Macaca fascicularis: one gene and its partner. The protein of the gene in region 2 purifies or fractionates together with the protein of the main gene of each other region. This does not show direct contact. Links are inferred from orthologs where the notes say so. Each region holds a gene or a part of one and is shown on either strand. Other genes may lie near its edges.

The links. The genes of interacting proteins can lie anywhere in the genome.
Region 1: the proteins of STRAP (region 2) and TGFBR1 purify together in Homo sapiens (affinity purification with western blotting; 3 studies listed by BioGRID and IntAct, with this or other methods). This does not show direct contact. The link is inferred for Macaca fascicularis from reciprocal best matches to the Homo sapiens genes STRAP and TGFBR1.

Annotation. Positions count from the first base shown.
Region 1 is NC_088389.1:58,978,347-58,981,998, reverse strand, and holds part of TGFBR1 (TGF-beta receptor type-1), read left to right. Parts: intron 1-660; coding exon 661-785; intron 786-1,828; coding exon 1,829-1,959; intron 1,960-3,353; coding exon 3,354-3,479; 3' UTR 3,480-3,652. UniProt on the Homo sapiens protein: Transmembrane serine/threonine kinase forming with the TGF-beta type II serine/threonine kinase receptor, TGFBR2, the non-promiscuous receptor for the TGF-beta cytokines TGFB1, TGFB2 and TGFB3.
Region 2 is NC_088385.1:18,704,621-18,708,272, reverse strand, and holds part of STRAP (serine-threonine kinase receptor-associated protein), read right to left. Parts: intron 2,515-3,652; coding exon 2,433-2,514; intron 1,854-2,432; coding exon 1,781-1,853; intron 1-1,780. UniProt on the Homo sapiens protein: The SMN complex catalyzes the assembly of small nuclear ribonucleoproteins (snRNPs), the building blocks of the spliceosome, and thereby plays an important role in the splicing of cellular pre-mRNAs.

The DNA of each region.
Region 1 (3,652 bases), on a different chromosome or scaffold from region 2:
CATTTCTGACCCAAAGCCCTTATCACTTGCTGTCACAGCATTTCTTCAAACTACTTCCTTGGCCTTGGAGAGAGCTGGAGAGCCAGCAGCATTAGTCTATTCAAATTTTATGTATAATTTTGAGATTTCTGGATTCCCTGGGGACTCTGCACTCTCAGCCAGCTAAGGAGTCCTTGACAGTGGTTGCTGCAGGTCTCTGTGGGTCTTGACCCATAATTTTCATAGGTTTTTGAAGCTTCAGTATGAGGACTGGCATTCTTCTGTGTCTATTATTTTTTCCCTTAGAGTATATTCCTGCCCTTCCTTTCATCCTCAGTGAGAAGACTTCTAGATTAAAATGCATGGTTTCTACCTAGTACATGTATAGGTGGTGTACATTGGGACACCTTTAACAGTCACAATAGTTGCATATGTCTTTCACTGGAAACCAAGATCATGAGGCAGATAGCGTGAAACTGCTATTTTAGCGTTTTGTGGGATTTAGTTGACATCATTAATGTGCAAACCAGTGTGGATATTTAATATTTTTCTTGAGTCTAATATTTGTTATGTAATATTTTGTGCATATGTCTGTGTACAGAGAAATGTCTGAAAGGATGTTCATCAAAATGTGGCAGTAAGGGGATGATTTTCAAAGTTATTTTTGCAAATTTTTTTTAGGTACATGGCCCCTGAAGTTCTTGATGATTCCATAAATATGAAACATTTTGAATCCTTCAAACGTGCTGACATCTATGCAATGGGCTTAGTATTCTGGGAAATTGCTCGACGATGTTCCATTGGTGGTAAATTGCTCCCCTCTCCCCCAACAGTTTGTCATGAGCAGAAGAAGTTGTTCGAGAATTGTCTTCTTTTTTTATTGAATGAAATTATGCACAATCCATTATCTGAAACAGGACATCACCGAGTGCCAGAGAAAACAAAGGCGATGAAACCTTTGGGAGGGGACAGTGCCATGGTGTGCACATGCACAGCTCTAGCCTAGTGTATTCTCTTCCTGTTTCCATTTGAATCTTGAGACTCATCAGAACCCAAACCCTTGTTATACTGGAATATAGTTCTTTAGAATGGACAGCTGCTTGAGAGGCTCACCTAGGAAGCTGTTTCTAGCATGTACCTAGGTGTCAAATTTATTTTTTTTCTTTGGCATTGTGGTTATTTTCTCCAACTTGATAGTTATAGATTACGTACACAGAATACAATTATGTTACCATTGTGTTGTTTTCTAGAGTTAGTTTGTCTTAACTTCTAGCGTTTTAGATGGAGTACTTATAATGTTTACTCAGGAAACAGTCTCTTAGGCTTGGGGACCTAGGCTTGGCTGAGACCTTAGTGCCTTATTAGTTTGAAGCAGTGAGGGACAGAGTATTTCTCTGTATTGTAGTAAATAGGATATATTATTGACAGATGCAAGTAGAGAAAGGGACTTGCACCTTAAACTTGCCTCATAGGATTTGTGTCTCACTGATAGGATCTATATATCCCTGTACAAGTGAGAGCCTGTGCACTTACAGAATAGAATCTCATTTGCTGCACAATAGGGTTCTAGGGGAAAATGTCAGTCTGGTGGTCACAGCTCACAGTTTACTGTCATTTCAAATAGGCTTTATTGATCTCTTGGCAATAGTTTCAAGGTGTGGGCAGAATATCAACTCAGGGAAGTGACTTGTTGATACAGATTTGGATGAGATAGAGAAAGCTGTAATCTCTGTTCCACCTACCTACTTTAGTAATAAGACACTGTAATAGGCCTCTCAGGTGATCTTTTTAATGCCTTGGCATTCGCTGAATACATTTATCAAAATTATTTTTTTTTAAACTGATACAGGAATTCATGAAGATTACCAGCTGCCTTATTATGATCTTGTACCTTCTGACCCATCAGTGGAAGAAATGAGAAAAGTTGTTTGTGAACAGAAGTTAAGGCCAAATATCCCAAACAGATGGCAGAGCTGCGAAGTGAGTATTTCTTTTTGATATTAGGCAATTTTCTAAACTTCTGCTTAGTAAGCAAAAGTTTGCTGCTTTTCTTTAAGGAAAACTTTTCTTTAAGAAGTTTCTTTTTCATAGCAGTCAAACCAATGTGTAAAAACAGAATAATTTGGTTTTCATATTCAATTGTAAGCACATTGAAAGGGCCGTGGAACATTTGCAGTGGCCTTTAGTATATCAGAACATAGTTTAGGTCTGTCAGGCGAACTAAAGCACATACTTTTTAAGTGAATGCCTCCCTTCAGCCAGGGCAACCCAGAATAATAGACAGTTGCTGGACAGGAATGAGGAGACCTATATTCTAGACCAGCCTGACTACCATTTCAAGGGTCTGACTTGGAACAAATCACTTTAGTTCTCTGAACCTTAATATCCCTTTGTAAGGTGAGGAACTCAGATAAGGTGATTACAAAGTTGTTTCAAGTGATTTTCCATTTTATTCATCTGATTGCCCAGATGACCATTAACCAGGAATTTAGGGAAAATGCTTTTTTTCCAGCAGTGTCTGAGCTTCTCAACCTCAGCTCTAACAAAAAGTTTTAGAAATGTTTTTGTAATTGTAAATTTAAAGATTCGTAAGATGAATTTTATTTAACCTCTCCTTAGTTGCTAGCTGTTACTATTATAATATTGGTGAAGCAGGGCATATTCCTCCGGGTTTGAAGGTTTGTAGCTTAAAAAGGCTATAAAAAGCTGTTCAGTTCAGTAGTTGGTTTTACATCTTAAACTATTATAGGACTCATCAGAACCTCTGATAACCAAGAGAGCTTGCTACCTCCAACAAAATCACATCTACAGGCCCAAATAAAATGTATTTCAGCATGCTCAAGGAATTTGCATGTGACATACTTTAACAAATGAGAGTGCTGCTAGATTTTGTCTTTTAGAAATTTGATCTACTCCGGAGGCTGAGGTGGGAGGATTGTTGGAGCCTGGGAGGTCGAGGCTGTAGTGAGCTGAGGGCATGCCATTGCATTCCACTTTGGGCCGCAGAGTGAGACCCTGTGTCAAAAAAAAAAAAAGAAAAATTTGATCTGGATACTTCAAAGTACAAACTTAAAATTTCAGTGTGAGGTCAGATTTCTTCTTTGCTTTGCCCAGCTCTGGTTTAGGATTCGACCTCTTCAGGTTTGCTGAGTGAGTTACTCTTTGTCTACCTGCTTTCCAGCACTGACACCAGTACCCTATTGATGGAAATTTGTGAAATTTCTACTCATTTGCTATTACAAACAATGCTTAACAACAACAACAAAGTGTATATGTCATTTAAAAAGAAAATTTACAGGTAAAAATTCTTATCCAGACCAATGGAAAATGGTGCATGCATTAATTTTTTTTTTTTTAATTATATTTTCTTGTAGGCCTTGAGAGTAATGGCTAAAATTATGAGAGAATGTTGGTATGCCAACGGAGCAGCTAGGCTTACAGCATTGCGGATTAAGAAAACATTATCACAACTCAGTCAACAGGAAGGCATCAAAATGTAATTCTACGACTTTGCCTGAACTCTACTTTTTTCTTCAGATCTGCTCCTGGGTTTTAATTTGGGAGGTCAATTGTTCTACCTCACTGAGAGGGAACAGAAGGATGTTGCTTCCTTTTGCAGCAGTGTAATAAAGTCAATTAAAAACTTCCCAGGATTTCTTCGGACCCAGGAAAC
Region 2 (3,652 bases):
TATATATATATGGTGAGGGCAATGATTAAAATATTATAAAATAAAGTATGTAGAGTGGGGATGACACCTATAACTTCTGTAAAATGAGAGAATGCATAAAGGATTTCACCACCAAAATGTTAAAAAGTACACACCATAAAACCGCCTTAACAAAATTTAAAAGCGAATGATAAATTGGAATTCAATAAAGAATCTTTAAAAACCAGTAAGAAAAACATGAACACAACAGATAAATGGGCCACGGGTAGACAGGCAATTATTTCATAAAAAAGGAAATACGTTAAAATGGTATTCAACAGCATTTTAATCTCATGAATTTTCGCATTAATACAACAGAATTATTTTCTTAAATTGACAAAGATAAAGTTAATTATCAGTGTTCACTAGAACATGTTGGGTATAGATACATATATATACCTATACTTTGTTGGAAGACATTTTGGTACTATCTATCAGTGGCTTCCAACAATTCATTTTTTTTTTTCTTTTTGAGAAGGAGTTTCGCTGTTGTCCCCCAGGCTGGAATGCAATGGCACAATCTTGGCTCACTGCAACCACTACCTCCCAGGTTCAAGCGATTCTCCTACCTCACCCTCCTGAGTACCTGGGAATTACAGGCGCCTACTACCATGCCCATGCCCAGCTAATTTTTTGTACTTTTAGTAGAGATGGGGTTTCACCGTGTTGGCCAGGCTGGTATCAAACTCCTGACCTCAGGTGATCCGCTCACCTTGGCCTCCCAAAGTGCTGGGATTACAGGTGTGAGCCACTGCACCCGGCCACCTTCCAGCAATTCTACTTCTCTTTGTCCCACCAATTCTACTTTGCTTAGTTATCTTAAGGAAATCATTATGAAAATATCTGCAACTACAAGGATGTTTAGCATAATACTGCTTTTAACATTTAAAATTTGTAGATAGCCCAAACAGGCCAAAACAGGAAACTAGTTAATTCACTTATGATATATCCACAGGATGGAAAACCAGAAAGTCATTACAAAGAGTTCACAGACTATTTAGTGACATGAAAAAACTGTAATTGCAGATTTTTAAAAATTCTTTCAAATAGCTAATATATTTACATGGTTCAAAAATGTAAGCAATATGTGCACACAACTGAGAATTCCCACCATCACCACCTTCTATAAATAACCACTCTTTCTTACCAAAAAATAGTAACACTGTTCTACAGTGTTTTAAAACTTAATATAATGATAAAATTTTTTGCCATAATAAATTTTCAATTTGGGAGGTTATACAATAGCAACGTGGCAGATAAACTGTTTTTTTTTTTTTTAAACTGCAGGATAAAAAAGACTGAAAGTTTATAAACCAAAAACGGGTGAATTATGTTTTAATTTTCTTCTTTGTGACTAATTTTTTTTTTTTTGAGACGGCATTTCACTCTTGTTGCCCAGGCTGGAGTGCAGTGGCGTGATCTTGGCTCATTGCAACCTCTACCTCCCGGGTTCAAGCAATTCTCCTGCCTCAGCCTCCTGAGTAGCTGGGATTACAAGCGCCCACCACCACACCTGGCTAATTTTTGTATTTTTAGTAGAGACGGGGTTTTGACAAATTGGCCAGGCTGGTCTCAAACTCCTGAACTCAAGTGATCCACCTGCCTCAGCCTCCCAAAGTGCTGGGATTACAGGCGTGTGCCACCGTGCCCGGTCATGACTATCTTTATTTTCCAAATTTGAGTACTGAGCATGAAATCCTTTAATCAGTTATTTAAATTTAAAAAAAGTAAAACTACAAGCTGATGTTTAAATTATGCTTACCGGCTTCGGGTTTGTTCAAGTCATATATGCGTAACAGTTTATCCTGTCCCCCGGTTAACAAATAATTACTATCCTGAAAACACAAAATGTGAATAGGTTAACCATTTTAATAGTTATTTCTCTTTCAAACTTCAACACCAAATAAAATCAAAATCTAGCTCACAGACATCACAAAGAGATGCAAGACATAACCAATTACTTCTGAGAAGATACTGTGGAACAGCTGCCCTCTCATAACTACCAAGCCTTGTGAGCTTTCCAGTGGGCAAAAGCGTTACATTACGCTACATATACATGAACTCTCCCATTCTCCCCTGATCCTACTCCTCTCCCTTGTGAGAGGCCCTTTTCTGATTATCTGAAATTTATCTTCTCACTTCTATTAGTAGGTGAGAAAGGTTACTTGAGCTTTTCAGATGTTTTTTGCTTGTTGAAGGACTGGTACTTGTTCCACGGTATCTTAAAAGCTTGACAGGATTAACCATGAAACAAATTCATAGAGCTTAATATACAATCAAATTAAATATGAACCAAGACATAACAAATATTCCACACAAAATATATCAAATATACACACCAATCAAATATAAAAGCATTGTCACACTATATAATAGCAACTTAACTTGCTAAAATAAATTCAATTTTCTGATACCTGCGTGAAATCCACAGTCTTGACAATGTGTTTATGAGCCAGGGTCATCAATTCATCTCCTGAGACAGCATCCCACACTTTGCTAAAAGTAAAAAAGGAAAAATTAGTACGATAAATATTACCCAATAAATTAAAAGGATAAATACAATTATAATATTGATGAGTACCAAATAAGTTAGATATGTGAAATGTTACATAAATGTATTATAAATCTCCTTTATCTCTAATATGCCTCACAGACTTCATTTGATAAAATATTTAAATAAGCTTAAAGGAAAAGAAATTTCTTTGTAAAAACTTTATAACCAATCTAATTTTCTTTGACAGTGGAAAAGATATGAACAATTTAAGAAAGATTCATGAACCAACCCATCCTACTTACTTTTATTTTAGTTGATAGCCATAATATCCCTTTAGCAAGACAGTCACACATTTTAACCAATTTTTAGTTTCACCATGCTAATTTTTTCTCTATTCTCCACTCAGATGCACAACAACAATAACAAAAAAAAAAAAACAGAAATCCTTAAAAATTTTACAGGGGAATGAAAAGCCTTAAATACAGGTTAAATAAAATTTTAAATTAAGATAGTGGAGAGACAATGTCCACTTCATCTCTTCTTCAAAGCTGACTTAAATTTTCAAACTCTAGTACAGTTAACTTCCCCCAACTATCAGCCTTTGATTATATAATGCTAACATTGAGAATTTTAATCTTTACATTGTTTTTCCTGTACTACCCCACCCCAAAATACAAGTTGGTTGTAGGTATACATACATATATATGTGTGTATATTCCAAGCGGGTAATAGTTGAACAATACAAAATTACTCTAAAAGGGTTCCCCGAAATAAAAAAGCTTAAGGAAGGGGGGAAAAAAGTTGATTTTAGATCAGAACAGGTCAGTGAAAAATAAACAAGAAAATTTTGCAGACAGGGAAAAGAATTGCTAAGAGTGAAGAAGCTATGTCCATAGAGATTTCCATTTTAATGCAACTGATACTTATTTTCGGGAACACAGTGGGCAATGAAATGGTAGAGGGAAAAAAATCAGAGAAAAGCGAGATATATCTTTTCTTTTGTTTATCCAATAAATACATAATATTTTAAATATATATCATTCTATACTTAGTGCTAAGGCACAAATGGGAGACAAAAAATACCCCACAGTAGGTTCTTGCCCTAGTAGAGCTTTAGCTGAGGAGAAAAACATGCATTAA